Linked DNA regions of Danio rerio. The protein of the gene in region 3 purifies or fractionates together with the protein of the main gene of each other region. This does not show direct contact. Links are inferred from orthologs where the notes say so. Each region holds a gene or a part of one and is shown on either strand. Other genes may lie near its edges. The genes, in order: kmt2cb, paxip1 and kdm6a.

Region 1 (6,507 bases), on a different chromosome or scaffold from region 3:
ATCGCTGATGTTCTTTTCAGTCAAAACTCCTTTCACACGAAATGATTTGAATCACCAACAGTTCCAAATATTTAGCATGCTAAATATCTCACAGGCATCGGCGACTCATGGGCGATTCTCTCAGATGGCGTCTTTGATAGTTAATACTTTGTGCTTGTCACTCACGTGCAAAAGCACTGATTTGCCTGTGATTTCAGGCATTTGTCACCGATTTCTCAAAACCTGTTGGCGGGTCAAAATTCAGGGCTAAAATCATGCAGTCTGAACTCGGCATAAGTCTTCGCTGGAAACAAAGCATCTAATTCATGCAATGTTTTTGAGATGATAGTATGCTGATTTACTTACTGCTTTGACATGACTACTGAAACTCAGATCTGACTCCAGAGTCACACCAAGATTCTTGAGCTTATTTTTTGTTGTTTGACCCTTAGTGCCAAGGTACGCATTCACCTTGATCATACAATTAATATTCTAAATAAACAACAGAAATTTGTCTTAAATGTAACTGTAACACAAAGACACAACTGGAGTAATATGCTAAGATTATTTAAGAAGTCCTTTGCAGGAATAGCTTATTAATTTAATTCAGTTGGCATTTCTGTGTGGAGTTTGCATGTTCTCCCCATGTTGGCATGCGTTTCCTCTAGGTGCTCCGGTTTCCCCCCACAAGTCCTAAGGCCATGCGCTATAGGGGAATCGAATAAACTAAACTGGCTGTAGTGTATGAACGTGAATGAGTGTGTATGGATGTTTCCCAGTACTGGCATGCAGATCAGTGGTGACCCCTGATTAAATAAAGAGACTAATGCAGAGTTCAGACTGCATGATTTTCAAAGTAGTTGTGTCACAGATGTTTTCACACTGCATAACTGGGCTAGTTATGACTATCTGGGCTAGCGTTTTGTCGCCGTTTTGTTTACACTGCAAGATGGATCGGCGACAGGGACTTTCACATTGCATAACTTTATTATAGGAAGAATCGACGACAACTTCGTCCAAACTACGTCTCACAGCCAAAAACACCTCCTGAGTCCTGTCAAACCTCCACTAGTTTTTCCTCCATTTCGTGGGTCCAAATAAACTGAAAAAAAGAGCGATTTTAACTTCTCCCCCAGCCTCCCGCTGGCCTGCAGCAGGTATACACACACGCACACACAAGTGAATGCCGCTCTCTCATTGGCTGTAGGCGATCGCTGATGTTATTTTCAGTCAAAACTCAATTCACACGGCATGATTTGAATCGCCGACAGCTCCAGATATTTAGCATGTCAAATATCTCGCAGGCATCGGCGACTCATGGCCGATTCTCTCAGATCGCGTCTTTGATAGTTCATACTGTTTTATTGTCACTCACGTGCACGAGCACCAATTGGCCAGTGATTTCAGGCGTTTGTCGGCAATTTCTCAAAACCTGTCTGCGAGCCAAAATCAGGGCTAAAATCACGCAGTCTGAACTAGGCATAAGCCGAAAAGAAAATGAGTAAATGAATGAGAATTATCTGTCTTTTAGACCCGACTCATAATTTTTTTAAGGCCTTATCCTACCTCCCTGACTTTACATCCCTCCTTTCTGTTTCATAGTATGTTTAGTTAAAATAAGATCATGTTTCATGAGCGCTGCATATTTTTTTTGACGTGCATGTTAACAACTGGGATTCCTCTTTTGTCTTCAGATGTGCTGCTGAGGTTTCTCAGTCCCACAGTTGCAAAAACGTCTATCTAAATATTCTGAATGTACAATTGCTTTATTTAGATAATAGAATGTCCAAAACAAATGTAATATGTTTCTTATATTTACACTAGCATTGGAATTTATTGTGATGCGAAAGGGCGCCACCTGAAATCTTTGTATCACTCAGATCTCTAGGATCAAATAAACTAGAAACTCCAAGAGTTCTAGTCAAATCAGGGTGAATCAGCTTTCAGCTACTACGCCCCTTACTGCTGTAATCAGCTTCTAGAAATGATCAGATGTGCACCAACATTATGCACATTCAAATCAAGACTAAAAGCATATCTGTTTAGCTGTGCCTTTACTGGATGAGCACTGTGCTTCATCAGACAGATTGCACTATTATGTTTTTCTCTTCTATTTCATTGTTTTATAACACGTTTTATCTCTTTTTGATTTTTTTTATCATTTTTATTATTTGTTTTTATTTTTCTTATACTTGCTTCTTTTATTTCTGTTTATGTAAAGCACTTTAAAATCCCACTGTGTATGAAATGTGCTATATAAATAAACTTGCCTTGCCTTCTGAAGCAGCAGACGACATCATCCCACTCATCCACGGATTACCGTTTGTTTATTTGTTTTTTTATTGTGGACATTCCGCATAGTTCGGTTGCGCAATTCTGATTGGGTATTAAAGTGTGCTCACTATTGGCTGACAAGACTGTCCTACACAGACGGCCGTAACGCATTTGCTCAGGGCGGGGGAGATTATATAAAACATATATATATATATATATTCATATTGCAGCCTCTTGCGATTAGCTAATCGCAATGTTGCAAAACGCAATTGCTATTCCATTTCGATTAATCGCACAGCCATAAGCTGAAGTAAACAAAAAAGCAGTGTATTTGATAAAGTTTATACTAATGCAGTTTAGTTTATAGTTTTGTATTTTTGAGTCTTTTTATTTTTCATTTATCAGTGTATATTTGTATTAGTTTTTACAAAAGTTTTGTTTGTTTGTTTTTTGGCACAAAAATAACTCCATAGGTTTTGATCCACTTCATGTGTAAAAACTGAAACAATGTCCCAGGGGTGTCATCTTAAAAGCTGCCATGAGAAAAAAAAACTGCATGCGCAGGAAAACCAAAACACATGCTACAGCGACAATGGATGCCTACATGGATGAGACAGATAGAGAGATATTTGTACAACAGCAGCCTAAAATACAAAAATTTTGCCAAAAACAATGTGCATATGTTGACCACCTGTGTAAGCGTATTATGTATTCTGTCTTCTACAACCAATAATCAACATTAGTTTTGAAGATATGTAGATTGATATTCAAATCAGTTACAATACCAATTGCAAAAATTTAAGCTAACTTACTTTTTTCTCTGTCTGGGCACAGAGGGAATTGATGTTGCTGTGGATAAGGCGTCCTTACGAGGGCGGCCTCTAGGCCGCTTATCTGTGGGGGTTGGACTTCCAGTGGGAGTGGCCCCAGAGCTGCAAGGAGGTGGAGAGGGTCCTTTGTCAGAGGGGTCCAGACTTTTCTCCTCTGATGACATTCTGTTGATAAAAAGGTAACACGTAATATTTTATTATAACAGATATGCAAAATAAGTGTCCGCTATGATGTAGTCTGATGTACAATATTTAATTAGTCAAAGCTAATTATTAGGTTTTTGAGAAGGCTTTCATCACAGTTTTTTTTCAGCAGATTTAGACCTTTACAACTTTCCAATAACAGGGTTCAACGCTATGGATTTTTTTTACTGATCCGATCGGGCAAGTGGTTCAGATTTTTACTTGCCCTGCCAAAATTTTCACTGGCCCCACCAAAAAAAAAGGAAGTTAATAGCAATTTTTTGCCACATTTTAAATAATGTGTCAAAAATAAAGTCTGTGAATCTAGAATTTTAATATTTAAAATAAATTGTAAATAAAAGTGTTATGCAAACAAAAAGAGCAGTACAGAAAATGTTAAAAAAAGGTGGCTGACTTGTCAAACTGGCCGAAACTGTGCAAAATATCACTTCATTTTTATTTTGTTCTGTTAGTCAGACGTAAATGTCTACTTCCAAGATGTTAGAAACAGACATTTTCTTTTAGCCTTATAATTTGATGTTGCCTCCATGTTGCCGTTTCTTCGCTGGACTGGTTTTTACCAGGTTACAGAAAAAAATATCATGGTCAATCAAATAAGAGGAACTGGAAAGCAATATGGTGTTTACGACATAACAGGGAAGGTAGTGTTTAAAAACTTAAAAGCACAAACTCAATTGACAAATTAAATGTTAGTAAACAGACAAATTAAATGTTAGTGACAAGGCAACACTGTCCCAATCGGGCCAGTAATGATCCGGTCTACTGTCCCAAGTGTCTCTCAAGCTGGCCCTGGGCCACTGGGCAGTCCTTATTGTTGAGCCTTAAATAAGCTATTTTTTGAATAAGCTAACTACAACTTTATTAAAAACCTAGATATTCCAGAAGAAAATGATTCCCGGGTTCAATACTAAAAAAAGCATTTTAAAAAACTAATATAACTTATGCATAGTGTGAAGATCAACTCTGAAATAAAACATAATTCCATGAAAATGTGTCAAAAATGTCATATTTAGTGTGCTAAAAAAATAATGTATCAGTTTATGTAATGTCAGCTAAAAATTATCCATCCGTTTTTTTATTATCATGTTTGAATTGTATTAGCACAGTACCAACTACATGATGGAAATGAATACTCCAAATACAACACATTTGACAAGTTGACAGAGAATGTTTTAGTTGTGTTGCATTATTCTTTCTAAATGTAGTGCATATTATGGTCACTGCTCTCCTGGATCCCCCATGCTGACCCTTGTGTTTGCTCTGTGTGGTGCTTCTGCCAACCTGTCCACTTAGCTGACAAGGCATATTGCCAATGGGATGCTGTCTTTTCCGGGAACTACGTGGGATCCCTCCCTGGGCTGCGATCATTGTATCCTGCCTTGAGTAAACAATTACACCTCACTCACATGCTCGAGTCAAGCCTTTAATGACACTGTGTACATTACCTTTAGCTTTTACAAACACATTGTTTGTGATAGTCATGAAAGAGCTTGGAAAGTGCATTTTTTTGTTTCATGTTGACATATTTCCTATTGAAAAAGGAAGCTGGGGAAGCACAGACGGATGAAACTGCTTAAATTTTCAAACAACCAGTTGGCTTTATTTTATGGAATAACTAAAAAGCATATTTAGCAATGTGTTATCACTACTCAAAGGTATAAAAAAAATAAAAAAATAAAAGTGGACTGAAAAGACGGAAACGGAAGTATTTTTATGCATGTTAAATATTCTTCGTGGAACCACAGATACATAGAACCATAATGGTTGAAGGACTTTATCATTCTAGAGCACATTTGATTAAACAAACATACAAGCACCCTTGAGTGCAAGATAATTCATTAATATGTTGAATGATTTCCAGAGTGTAAAAAGACTGACGTGTGTATGCATCTGTTAAATGTATATTCTGAGATATAATTAAAAAAGTAATAAAAAAAAATCTCTATTTTTTAATTCAAAGTGCTCCTTACATAAATACAAACAAATTGCACAGACTTGTAAATGTCATTGTTCAAACTGTCATTTTCAAGATTGACCTAACAATTTACCATGCATCAATCTTGCAGCTGAATTGAATTTCCAAAAGGCTGTATAATCAATCACTTTATGATTTTGGTTACATTTGAGACATGAAGTTTGCAAAACTGGATAATTTTGTGCACCTATATTCATTTTAAAATGAACAGTTATTGTCCAGTTTTAATAACACTGATAATGAACCGATTTTTCTGACACATTACCAGCTAACGCACTCTCATTTTTTTTGAACACTAACTGAATTAATAGTTGTGTAAACACTTAATATTGTTGTTATTTTGTATCCAAACTCCCCATTTGGTTCTATAAACATCTACATAAACTCTATTAAGCTTCATAAACTAAGCATTATACTTTTTTAAACAAGCACAAAATGTCCTTGGTGCAGTTGCCTCAATTTTAGCTGGTTAAACTAAAGTAACAAATGGACTGACACAAAAAAAACGAAATGGCTTCTTGATCAAAAATATAGTTTGTACTTTATTATCATTCTGTCTATAAAATGAAACATCTGGCTAGGTGCAGAGGACTTCTTTTGAAGTTATCTAGAGTGTGTAAATCAAATCCATGAATACATCTGAACACTTGGCAATGCCCCTACAACGTACATCTTAAAATAAGATATACTGGAAATGATTTGAAACCACAACTAAGGAAACCAGAGGGACACCTTCGTGAAACAGAAGCACACAAAGCAAGTGCTTCTTCACATGAGGGGGCATGTCCAGCTTTTTGCCTTTGTTCAGTTGTCTCCAGAGCTTTGTGTTTCAGAGCTTCACGTATGCAAGGGGCCAATAATACCATCATGCCATGAAATACTCTAATGTTTAACTAACTTCACACTTTTTTTATAAAACAAAAAATGACAAATAATTAATAAAAAACAAAAACAAGCTGGCGACTTTGCAGGAGGGAGATGAATGCACTCTTTAGGACCCTAAATGCTAAATCTACATGCACGCCAAAGTATCGGTGCTGTTCAAACATTTGTCTAGACATAATCATGTAGAACCAACGTAGATGTTTTAGATTTACAGTGAAAGGACGACTGAAAATGCGCAAGAAAGGCTGTAAGTGGATACAGTATAGGCCTTGCAGCCCGGCTGATTAACTTGGAACATTACTCAATGCTGGAGTCGCCTATCCAAGCGGGAATCATATAACGGCCCATTAAAGGCAGTGG
Region 2 (6,507 bases), on a different chromosome or scaffold from region 3:
GTATCTGAGGTGTGCGCTAAAATGACTAAGTACAAGTGAGTGAAAGATTGAAGCAGTCTACTGACCCGCTAACTGCCTGTACCCGCTGTCTTGAGCGCATGGCTGTGTGTGCGTCTGTGTCTGTGTTTGGTCACGTGATGTGCGTTTTCAACGGTAGTGAGGAAAGAGGGCTGCTCAGAAATGCTACACGCCACTGTGGATGTCAAATCGTTGTCGTTCTAAAATGCCATTTAAAAACAAAGACATATTAGTGTAAACACTGCCAGAGTGTGTACTTTTCATGAGCGGATTTGCAACGGGGGCGGGGCAGAGGATCGCGATGCCGGTGTTGTCTATTGGACGAACCCTAATACGTGCGTTGCAGAGCTTGCAAAACTTTTTTTTTTTTTTTTTTGTCGACAACACGAACGTTATCAACATAACTCACTGGAAACCAAAATGCTTCCACACCGGCGACTTCATTGAAAGAGGAGAGGGTTTAAGCTCTGTCGACAGGTCTCCTGCGTCTGCCGTTTAACAAGCTCTTTAACAAGCGTGTTTTTTTCCCGCTTGGCAAGCCAAGCTGACTTGACATGGGGGCGTGGCAGCATCGACGATTCTATTTTATGATTCGATAATCGAAATTGAGCATAAATTTCGATCGATTTCGATTTAAAATCGAGATCGTGACACCCTTACTCACTTTATTGGTTAATAAGCTTACCTCACAAAAATGATGGTCATGCATTTGCTTTTGGAGACAGGTCTGTTTAAATATTATTATATATTCAACACAATTACACAATTTCTAATCAATTAAGGCTTTGGTGGGACAAAAAAAGCTGTTTTCCGGCCACTAGGTTGCTGTTGAAAGTGGTGTTCGTAAGGCTAGCAGGGGGTGCTTGACCTGTGGTCTGTGAGTCCTAATGCCCCAGTAAAAGTAAAGGGGACACTATACTGTCAGTGAGCGCCGTCTTTCGGTTGAGACATAAAACCGAGGTCCTGAGTCTCTGTGGTCATTAAAAATCCCATAGCACTTCTCGTAAAGAGTAGGGTTGTAACCTCGGTGTCCTCCATCGGCCCTCACTGATCATAGCCTCCCAATCCTCCCCATCATGCTCGTGCAGAGACTGTCCAAAGGGCATGTGCAGGATAAAATTTTTGAAGAGCAGGTGGGGGTTGTTGTTGTCGTCGTCGTCGTTGTCGTCGTCGTCGTCGCCGCCACCGCCGGGTGCATACTGAAGAGTGGTTTTGTCACGCGCGTACTGTTAAGCGCGGGGTGGTAGGGAACACGCGTACTCAGGAGCGGTGTTGTCGCGCGCGGGAATCAGTGCCCAGAAAATAAACTTTTTTTTAAATTCAACAAGAAATAGGAAAAAAATCACTTTTTTTTTAAGTCAAGACACGATGATATTGTGTATAGAAGATGCCGCATTGGACGCACAAGACTCACGCATGAACATTTACTCAAAGGAGAAGAACCCCCATAATGCCTTTATTGCAACAAAAAACAAACTGTTAAACATATTCTTGTGGAATGCCCCATTTTTAATGTTCTTAGACAACAATTTTTAACTGGAGAGACTCTAAGTGAAATTTTTAAAAATGTTAATCCTTCTAAAATTGTAGAATTTTTATCAAAAGGAAACCGTAAAAAACTGTTTTAGATTTTTATCATATATATTATCATTTTTATTATTATTTATGTATTTTACCTTGTGTATTATTTATTTCTGTTAATGACTTAATTTTTTTTAGGACTTTTTTTAAGAATATAGAAAAGTGGTATTCATAAAATGTGGTAACCTTGATCTGTTTTTTTTTTGCCATGACATAGCCATAGAAGCTGAAATGGCAATAAAATTAAAACTCTCTCTCTCTCTCTCTCTCTCTCTCTCTCTGAAGGGCGGTGGGGGGGCACTTTTGATCATTTTAGAAGGGCACTTTCTATCCAAGACTAAAAAGGACATGTGCACTGCACAGGTTGAGCCCTATGTGTGCATGTGCCTGCTCCCCATGCACTGAATTGTCTCTATTACTATCTCTCCACTCCATGTATAGCCGGTGTGTGGTGAGCGCACTGGCGTCATTGTCCTGTGGCTGTCGTCGCATCATCCAAGTGGATGCTGCACACTGGTGGTGGTGTGGAGAGAGAGACACCCCCTCATGATTGTTAACCGTAACACTAACCCTAAATCCCTTATGGTGGGCATATCCCTTATTTTTACATCCTAATGTTGACGGGTATGATGGCCTTACAAGATAAAATGCGCTATATAAATACACTTTGCTTAAGTACATCCAAAAATGTAGGAAAAACCCTGGAGTAATATTAACTTATGTTATGTTGCATGCATTTATAAAACTTTTTTTGTTATTACCAAGTATTTAAATGGCACATAAGTAAATAAGTACATATAGCGTTTGGAACAAAAAACAAATATTATAATATTCATATTTTAATCTTATTTTGTTGAAAAACTGCAGGATTTGATCAAAGCAGCTTTTTGGTTAACAAAGCCTTTTAAATTACATGCTTGGGAAGATGGTTGACGTATGTTATATTCCCAAATGCACCTATTCTAAGCAACACAATTTTTTGGCGCATGCAGAAATTAAGTTTCTGTGGAGGAGCATGTATTGTGAAATATATTTATTTAATTAAATTACAGCTTGTGATTTGATAATCGCACCGAGACAGTGTGCAATTTCTGTTTCATTTCGATCAGTCATGCAGCTCTACTGTAATTTGTTTTTCATTTGTTTGTTTTTTTCTGTATTTTCCAGGCCAAGTACGAGTGTGCTTTGCGGCATAATAACATAAAGATAGTAACTCCAGAATGGATTTTGGACTCTGTAAAAGAAAAGAACAGGAAAGATGAGATGCTATATCACCCACGACTCACATTATATGATGCACCGGAAGAGGAGGGCAGTGAGTATGAAAACGAGAGGAGCTCACGATCTGAAGGTAGCTATAGTGACAGACGCTCGCCTCACAGCCGACGCTCCAGCCCTACATCATCCCGAGACGCATCCCCAGCAGGCAGGCGCTCACCCTCAACCAAACATGAACGCAAATCAGAGTTGATGTTCGATGACTCTGATGACTCATCCCCAGAGAAGGAGGATCGCAATCTCAATTGGACCCCAGCTGAGGTGCTTCCGCCTGGTCCGGCTAAACGTCGACTACAGCCTGGCAAAGAAACCGGTTTGATCAATCTGTGTGCCAATGTCCCACCTGTACCAGGAAGCTTTGGGCCACCTGATGCACGAATGGTCGGTGCAGGTGCAGGTGGAGGTGTGCCTATGGGGGTGGAAAGATTAGAGGTCATGAGTGAATGGAATTCAGCCGCCAGGACGCTAAGAAACATCACTAACAACACTGATACCCAACAGCCCTCTCGACCCTCCAATGTGGCACATGTAAGGATTAGAATTTTCAATGTAACTTTTATATCTAAAGGAAGAATTTCTCCTATATTTATAAGGCCTAATTAGGGCTGGGTGATTTAAATTAATTGAACTATTAATTAATTTTTTGACCTCATAGTTTACTGACAGATTTTGTACAGTAAATAGGCTCACATATTACAAGTGAGAGATTTTTGATCTTTACTATCTATGATTATTTACTTTAATGTTGAACAACTGGAATTAAAACACACATTGCCTTAAACAGTCACTTTCTTGAAAAACAAAGTTGAAAAAAACTTTTGGAAACAAATTTAATCTTTAGGTTTTTCATATTAAAAGTAGAGAATAAGTAGTTTCTCTTTTAAATAAAGTACCTCTTGTATATCCTGTAAATAATATTTTAAACCATGCATTTTTTGAGTCTTCAGTAAACAAATATTTTAATATAAATAATAATCTTAATGTAATGGACAATATGCAGTCTCAAGGCTTTTCTGGCGCAGCTTACAATCATCATCAAAGTAGTGCAAAAGTAGTGCAACATCCGTGCATTCAACGCAGAAGTATAAATCAGCCTTAAGCGAGTGAGCTTACATGACTCCACATGCAGCACAGAAAATAATTGAAAAAATTGACATGGAAAAATTTGATCGATTACAGATTCTGAATGACTATTTCAGTTATTTTCGATTAATCACCCAGCCCTAGACCTAATGCTTTGACCATATTTTGCACAGTGTATCAATCTAGATATGTCCTGTGGACGCGAGAAGGTGTGCAGCTTCAACGGAATACTCTAAATTATTATTAAAGTATTTTTGTTCTGTTGAACACAAAAGAAGATATGTCAAAGGATGTTGGAAACCTGAAACCCTAGACTTTCATAGTATTTGTTTTTTCTACAATGTATATAAATGATTGCAGGTTTCCAACATTAATCAAAATATCTTATTTTTTGTTTAACTGAACAAAAATATATATAATTAGTTTAAAAAATCGAGGTTGAGTAAATGGTGACAATTTGCATTCATTCAGGCTGCAATTTGTCAATTCTGTCTAAAAGCACACAGTGAAACTTCATGCGTATAAAAAAAAAACTAATAAAGGATCAAAATTAAATATCTTTGTAGTATTTTTATAATTTAATTTGTACAAAAGGCAGAAGTGTCTTTATGTATTTTTAAAGTTTAATGAAACATATGCATTTTTCTACAGATCATCCAGAGTTTTTCCGCATCCTCTAAAGGTGTAGTGGATCATATGGGAAATCAGGGCCAGTCTGGTATTCCCAACCAGCTTCTGTTAAAAGCCCAACAGCAGCTTCCTCCTGAAGCACAGCAGCAGTTACTGCAACAACAGCAGCAGCAACAGTCACATCAGCTACAACAGCAACAGCAGCAGCATCAGATGGCACAACAACATCCCATGATGCTGCCACAGGTCATGCAGATGCACCACCATCAACAACAACAACAGCATCAGCCGCCGCCACAGCAACAACAGCAGCAGCAAAACCAACAAGGCTTTCCTCAAATGCCTCCACAATCGCATCAGTTCTTACAGCAACAGATGCATCAGCAGATGTATTCCCAACATCAACAGCAGCAGCAGCAGCAGCAACAACAGCAGCAGCAACAACATGCATTCCCACAACAAATGCGACCCCAACAGCTTCCGAGGCTGCCCTTGCAGCATCAGCAGCAACATGTGCTGCAACAACAGTTACAGTTACAGCAGCAGCACAGACTTCAGTTGCAGTTGCAACAACAACAACAACAGCAGCAGCAACAACAACAACAGCAGCAGCAGCAGCAGCAGCAACAACAACAACAAAAACAACAACAGCAGCAGCAGCAAAACCAGCAGCAGATGCACCAACAGCATTTGCAGCAGCAACAGCATTTCCTACAACAACAACTCCAACAGCAGCACATGCAACAGCTGCAACAACAGCAGCAAATGCAGCAGCAACAGCAACAACATCTGCAGAACCAGCAGCCTCTGCAACATCAGAACCAGCAGGTTAATCCACATCAGACACAGACTATGCTTCAACCTCCAATCACATCTGCACAGCTCTTTGGACACGAGCCTGGCCATGACAGTAAGTGCAATTACTTTACGATATCACCCAGCTGCACATTGTTTTGTGAGCACAATACATATAGTCTGTCTTTGTGAGAAAGTAAAAACGGAAACAGTGACTTCTCCTGAATAGAGTTGTATTAATTTATAATATTCTACGGTGACATTTATCATTACCTTTTCAGTACCTGAAGAGGGATTCCTGGTTGGCTGTATTTTTGCCATTGCTGACTATCCAGAACAAATGGCTGATAAACAGTTACTGGCCACATGGAAAAGGGTAAGCGACTCCGCCACACTCCAACAAATACTAAATTATTCCTTTAGAAAATTGATTTATTTTAATCCATATTTTAAGCTAGCATGTTATGTTTTAGATTAAATTCAACATCAGGAAAGACAGTATTTTTTTGTAGTTTTTTTTATTATTGGCAATTCTCAATCAGAGTTATTGCAAGTGAGAGAAATAAAAACCATAATACAATAATTTTACAATATTAAAGAAAAAATTGACATGGTAATTCAAGGAATTCCTTACTCTCTTATCTAGGGTTGGGCAATGTCAACTAATTTGGCATCATACGATGTCTAATGTGAAACATAGCGATGGACGACGGATGGCATCATCGTCGTAGGCGGCGGTGAAGTTTTTTTTTTATGCATAATTAATAAATTTATAACAAATTAGTTCTTTGTAGCCCACCGTTTTAACTACCTGACCCTTATGGTCTTTGTTTTAACCATAACCAAACCATAAATAAATAAACACAAGTTATACACAAATTACCACCTGTCAATCACTTGTTCTGCAGGACTCTTGCATAAATAGTTCTGCGGAAAATTACTAAGTACAAGCATAAAAGCGAAAGACTGAAGCGGTGTACTGATGCTGTGACGCGTTACCAGATAGATTCAAAAGAGTCGTTAGATAGAGACTAGATTAATTCAATATCACATTTAAAACTACAGTAAGCCTCGATCCAGTGGTACATCCTTGATAAACTGTCTGACGTGTACTGCTCTCTG
Region 3 (6,507 bases):
AGAGCAATTTCAAGTATTTTTCTTTTTGGTTAATTTTGGTGATTTTTTTACAGGGTTAACTGTTATGAAATATCATGATATTTGATAATGAGACCCCTGAGAGTAACATTTGTCTATGATATGATTAAATTCAAATCTCATGGCCAAATGCATAACTATGAGTGGATCTTGTTGGGGGCCAGAAGTATTTCAAAAATCAGGCATTTCATAAAAAACCTCAAGGGTGCCACAAGGGGGTGCTAGAAAGTTTGTGGAAATGCAAAAAAGAAAAGAAAAGCAAACATACCATAAATACAAACAAGCTAAAATAATTAATTAGCAGTTGAATTAAATACTTATTAGGTTTTAATTATAGATTTACAAAACTTTAAGTTTACAAAATTAAGTTTACAAAATTGTTAAGATTAGACACCCCCAAATAAAAAAATACAATTCGTTTTATCCACTCGAGTACAATAAGACAGAAGAGAGACTCAATTTGGTAGTTGAACTTGTAACACTGTCTGAACAGAAAACCAGCTACACAGACAGTTAACAATACTGAATTGTGTTCTCCTTAGCAAGACAACTCAGTCCAACTTGGCATATTATTCAAAACTTTTCATGACTAGACATTTAAATCTGGAAAAGAAATGAAAATGCACACCTCACAGATGCTACAGTAGTGAGCAGGTTCGTCCTTGGTCCTTCCATGCCAAACAAGCTCTTTTCCAGCAGCTATGAGAGCCTCCCTCAGCATCTGACACTGCTTTAGTGTCCTCAATAAACAGTACCTGAACGGGAAGAGGAGGAGCATGCATACCTTATTTAAAACTTCCAATAAACTGCTTGAAATTTCAGTCACGGCATACTGCATCACTGTGACTGATCAAATGGCAAATGTGGTGCCGCAGACTCACTTGATCATCTCAAAGAGCTTGTGGTCTGACACTTTGATGTTTCTGGCCATATTCCAGGAGAGGTGAATCATGGGAACGATGGATTTGACACTCTGGAGTTTGTTCCACTCATAGCGCTCCACCGCTAGCTTGTACTGATGCACTGAGGAAGGACCAACACGATTAGAAACTACAGCAAAATAGATGAGCCGCATTTAAATTAAAAGTTTTTGTATAGTGCCTTTCACAATGTTTATCGTTCAACTCCAGTTCGAGTACATGGAAAAAAAGAAAAACAATTATGCAATATTCTTTAATATATCTTTTTTTTATAATGACGACAATTATATTTTGCTTCATGTGTGCTTCTGTTATTTACCTATGCTGGTTTAGGCTATTTTTGTCGGTGGGGAAAAATGCAATACTGTGTTCTAATGTTTAATTAACTACATAAAACTATTAGCTAGTTTTAGTTACTATTAGTTAACTCAATACATTTCTTAACTTTAATCTTTAAGATATTTATTTTATATCACAGAGAGACAAAATAAGCTACACGTTAATTTGTGTTTTATTTTTATTTGATGACATGAGTGGCCATCTTAACAATGCAATGTTGAACAATTAAAAAAACTACAAAAATTATAAAAGACATAAAATGAATGAATAACCTTGAGTTTTGCAGAATAAAGGATGTAAAAGACACAAAGAAAAACATCAAATTCAAGTATCGCAAAGCCAAGCTGCTTAATAAAATAGCAGCTGTTTTTGTTTTGTTTTGACAGATGGGCTTTTATTAAATGGAAAATAGACAGTATTATAGGCAGAAGTTAAGGCGCACTGGCAGACCTGAAGGCTATGACAAAATGCAATTAGAAAAATTATTCTTCCTAGTTAGCCAGATTGTAAGGTTGAACAGTCTGCAATCCTTCAACTTGAAAAAATGAAAAAATATATATTTAAGGCGGCAGACAAAAGCAAGAGAAAAGATGGCTGTAAGAATTATAATAAATAACTTATAATAAATGTTTGGCTTTATATTGATGTGGTTCAGTACAGTAAAGTACAGTACTTTGTTTTTGTGATTAGACTGCCAATTAGTTTTTATAAAAAAAAATTATTATAATAATTATTTAAAAACTCATAAAAAAAAAACACCCTTACTCCAGACATGGCATGATGGTTCAGACCAGGGGTGTCCAAACTCGGTACTTCCTACCCCAATCTGACAGACCTGGGCTAGCTAATCAAGCTCTTACTAGGCTTTCCAGAAACATCCTTGCAGGTGTGTTGAGGAACGTTGAAGCTAAAATCTGCAGGACATCAGCTGTCCAGGACCAAGTTTGACCACCCCTCGTTCAGATGCCGTAAAATACAACAGCTTATGTAGGAACAACAGGTCTTAGGCAGCTCACCAGATTCTAGATCTGTTGGTCCAACAGCAATGATACAAATCTTGATATATTTACCAGTGAGTGGTCCTACGTTCCAGGCAATGTTGTTGCACCAGCCAATAGCCTGAACCCAATGCACAGTCCCTGTATTGAGCCAGACCAGATCACCTGGTCGCTGGATAAAGCGATACACTGGAACATTTGCCTCATACAAGTCCTCAAGATTTGGCCACCAAGATCCCATTAGATAATTAATATTATTCCTGCATAAAGAATACATGAAAATCAGCATGAGCATCTCACAACCTCACTTTTAAACTATTAATTCTGTTGTCAAAACTGACAAAGGTTGTTGTTTACAATTGGAAAATAAAAAAGAACAACTCTTCTTTGTTTACGGTTGGAATAAAAAAGTACACTACTGGACATGAACATCTGTAAAATACCTGCAAGGGATGTAAAGATAAATCAATAATCTATTAATGCAAGGGTCTCAAACTCGCGGCCCTCAGTGCAATATTTTGTGGCCCGCGCCAACCGATGTACACTGACAGAATCAGCGGAGTGGGGAGAGAGAGCGCTCCCCGCTCCGCTGATTCTATCCGTACACAGCGGTCACTGGCATTCCCCGCCCGCCGTGTTGTCGCGCGCGTTCTCATCAGCTGTGTTGTCGCGCGTGTACTCAAGAGCGGTGTTATCGCGCGCCTACTGAAGGGCGGGACCGAGGGTGTGTCGCGTCGCGGGGGCACTTTCTATGCAAGACTAAAAAGGGCATGTGCTCTGCACAGGTTGAGCCCTATGTGTGCATGTGCCTGCCCTGCATCTTATATATATCATAGGTAGATACAGACTGGTACAGACTGATGTGACTGGAGTGGGGTGGGGGTGTTTTATTTATAAATATATACACCTTTTTTTTAGGTGAGGGAATGGAAGTTTTGAGTGAGTTCCCCCACTTTTTTCCCAGGACTTCAATAAGTCAAAGTACAGGTCTAGACTTAATGATGATCATCTTCAAGCCATACTGAGGGTCTCAACTGCTTCCGCTCTAAAGCCAGATGTGGTTCAGATTTGTGAGAAGAAGCGCTGTCAAGTCTCTGGCAGCAAGAAATAGGCAAAAGATGCCATGTTCAGAAGAACTGTTCATAATCTTCACTCAATGTGTTATTAATGTTCAGGACACTTCATGTTCAGAAGAAATAATTAAAACTGTTAATAATGACATTTGAGGACTTTTTTTGTGAAATCCCTTATGCAGCCCAGCCTCACCCAGACTTTGCCTCCTGCGGCCCCCAGTTAAATTGAGTTTGAGACCCCTGTATTAATGTATCTGCACAGCTAGTGTTTTTCAGCCAATGATGAACTTCTGGTGAAAGGTTTATGTGAATATTTTCAATTTCATCAAGTTCCTTTTACAGCATTGATGTTGTAATGCAATTCACATATAATCAGTTAAATAGACTTGAGCATTTATTTAGTTGTTAAAGAGTAAAAGAGGCGAAAGACTGTTTAAACGCATGTGCAGTCATTAGGCGCAGGTTAGCACAGAAACACATTTGAAAATACTGGAGTAAAATGAATTTCCATATTTTAAAGACATGAAAAGATATAATTAATGCAGTGCTTCTTGTTTGGTCTGATACCCACTTTATATCGTATGTCAGCCAGTTAGTGATATCCGTGTTTAAAGAAATTACAAAACACACACAAAAAACAAACAGCGATTTTGTATGGCATGACAATTTACCGGACGCCTTGGGGCTGGCTGGCTGAAATTTAATGTCTGTGTGTATACAGCTCATGTAGATCGATACATTGATTAAATTACTAACCATGTGATGTATTGACAGAACTCAAAAAAGAAAAAATAGTAATATAAATTTAAAGAGACACTTCACCTAGGGTTGGGCGATGTCGATCAATTTGGTATCGTACGATGTCTAATGTGAAACATTGTGATGGACGATGGCATCGATGTCATTGGCGGAGGTGAATTCATTATTTATGAATAATTAATTTATTCTTAACAAATTATTTATTCGTAGCCTACCGTTTCAACTACCTGACCCGCATGGTCTTTATTTTACCTATAAACAAATTATAAACGAATAAAGATAAGTTGCACACAAATTACCCCGTCAATCACTTTTTCTGCAGGAGGTTCGTTGGTAAAAAAGGTGCACAACCAACAGTACCTGAGGTTTTCACTAAAATTACTAAGTAACTTACAAGACGTTAGATAGAGACCAGATGAATTAAATATCACATATCACATTTATTTTCACATCCTTGATAAACTGTCCGATGTGCACTGTTCTCTGGAGCTCAGAGTCATCTTTAATGGGGGGAAAATGTAATTTGTGTTGGTGCAAGCTGTTAGGTAATCTGTCCCTTTGCCTCTAATGAGTTTGAAAATACAATAATATCTGAGAAAATAACAGACAAACAAAAACCATGTCATTTGTAAACTCAGCTTTAAAAAAACAACAACTAAAGTGACAATTGTCAGTACATTTGAAACAAAAAAAGACGCAATATACAAAATTGCAAGTTTAAACAACTTCTATTTCTATGTTTTCTTTTTCTAAACTAATACATTTTAATCATTCCTATTGAGGATTCTTTATTGGTATTGATATTTCTGAGAAAAAAATATTTGATATTAAATTGACGGTGTTTTAGAAGTATCAAATAGACAGGCAGACTGCTTACTTTTCACAGAAATCATTCATGACACCCCAGTACGGCTCAGGAACGGCAAACCATTCACAATCTCCAGGGCCAATGTTTATGTTCACAGAGCAGAAGTTGTTGTTTTCTTGATGACCTGAAAAGATTAAAGACATTTTTTTTTTTTTGAGTTTCATTAATGTCGCTAGTAGAGCACGTGTCAGTGCTTGCGAGCCAAAAAGCTGACCTGGTGTCCTGCTGCCCGGGACCTTCATATAGAGCTGGACTGTGTTCATGCCGAGAATTGTGTGGCCCACATGACTGAGCAGATTCCCTGCAGACACCACCCGTGCGAAGGCAGGCAGTTTACTCAACTCAGCCAGCTGCAGCTTCCACCTGCAAAGCCACAGGACGGAGGTCAGATGAGACGACCTAACATGCCTTCCTGTTCCATCAACTCTGTCTGTTCACTGCAAGAGGTCTGAAGACTGACATTTACTTTGCAAACCTGCTTCAGACTTGAATGAAACTCTCAAGAGCATCCTGATGAAGCACTAAACCGCATGAGGCATGCATTAGAGTGATTTTATTACTGCTAAACAGTGCTATTAAGCACATCATGAAGTAGAGTGCCCTTTTCACCATGGTATAAAAAAATAATTCACTGTAAATCATGCACTTGAGTGGTTTATTGCTTCTATAATGAAAAATGATCCATTAGAAAATTAAGTGTTCAAAAGATTACAATTTTTTATGCCAGATAACATTTCTGATTTTGTTTTGTGACCGTCAATGCCTAGAACAAGCTGCAGGTTTTTTTTAACACCAAGAATGACATTTTTTAAGGGAATAAGCCAACATGTTCTTAAATGTAAATTGGGGACCACACAATGGTTTATAGGAGCAACACTTTAAAGTTTGAAAATACAACTCTAATATACCCATGAAATTACTTTAATTAATAGTTCAGTAAAAAAATATATAACAAAAAATAGGTTGAGAATAACTCTGCTCCCAAACAAGCCAATGTGAAAATAATTTGCCAATACCTTCTGATCACGCTGTAAAAATGTTGGGTTCTTTATCTGGATTTTTATTTAAAGATGCAATATTACATGAAATGCATCACAGACCGACAAATTTCCTATTTTGTTTTCTATTTCTCAAAAAATCTAGTACTAATCTTTCCATTTGTCTTAGTTTAATGATGTTTAAATGCTTGTATTGGGAAAATAAAACAGAGAATATATATATTTTTGCAGAATTTAAAACTACTTTAAAACTCTAAGGGCTCAAATTGTGTAAATGTGAGAAAAAACCCTTGAGACTTAGAGAAACCCTGCTACAAATGAATTAATCTAATCTAGTACTTCCAACAGAAAATACACTGCTTTTTTTTTTTTTACAAATAAATTCACTTTTGCACAGCAACTGGACTAGGTTCAATAAAGAAAAAGGTTCAATAAAAAACTGATGAAAAATGAAAACACTGAGCGCTTACTTTTTCTCATCTGACAAATCAATGTTGGTTCCAAATTTGATGTGCTTAAAGGGACCTCTTCTTC

Evidence for each region.
Region 1: the proteins of kdm6a (region 3) and kmt2cb purify together in Homo sapiens (affinity purification with mass spectrometry; 3 studies listed by BioGRID and IntAct, with this or other methods). This does not show direct contact. The link is inferred for Danio rerio from reciprocal best matches to the Homo sapiens genes KDM6A and KMT2C.
Region 2: the proteins of kdm6a (region 3) and paxip1 purify together in Homo sapiens (affinity purification with mass spectrometry; 6 studies listed by BioGRID and IntAct, with this or other methods). This does not show direct contact. The link is inferred for Danio rerio from reciprocal best matches to the Homo sapiens genes KDM6A and PAXIP1.

What each region holds. Positions count from the first base shown.
Region 1 is NC_133177.1:13,279,912-13,286,418, reverse strand, and holds part of kmt2cb (histone-lysine N-methyltransferase 2C), read right to left. Parts: intron 3,249-6,507; 5' UTR 3,248-3,248; coding exon 3,066-3,247; intron 1-3,065. UniProt on the Homo sapiens protein: Histone methyltransferase that catalyzes methyl group transfer from S-adenosyl-L-methionine to the epsilon-amino group of 'Lys-4' of histone H3 (H3K4).
Region 2 is NC_133177.1:32,871,278-32,877,784, reverse strand, and holds part of paxip1 (PAX-interacting protein 1), read left to right. Parts: intron 1-2,766; coding exon 2,767-3,405; intron 3,406-4,611; coding exon 4,612-5,500; intron 5,501-5,666; coding exon 5,667-5,761; intron 5,762-6,507.
Region 3 is NC_133184.1:35,542,877-35,549,383, reverse strand, and holds part of kdm6a (lysine-specific demethylase 6A), read right to left. Parts: coding exon 6,444-6,507; intron 5,339-6,443; coding exon 5,190-5,338; intron 5,100-5,189; coding exon 4,985-5,099; exon of another isoform or gene 3,587-4,984; intron 2,749-3,586; exon of another isoform or gene 2,536-2,748; coding exon 2,348-2,535; intron 1,042-2,347; coding exon 900-1,041; intron 774-899; coding exon 647-773; intron 1-646. UniProt on the Homo sapiens protein: Histone demethylase that specifically demethylates 'Lys-27' of histone H3, thereby playing a central role in histone code. Demethylates trimethylated and dimethylated but not monomethylated H3 'Lys-27'.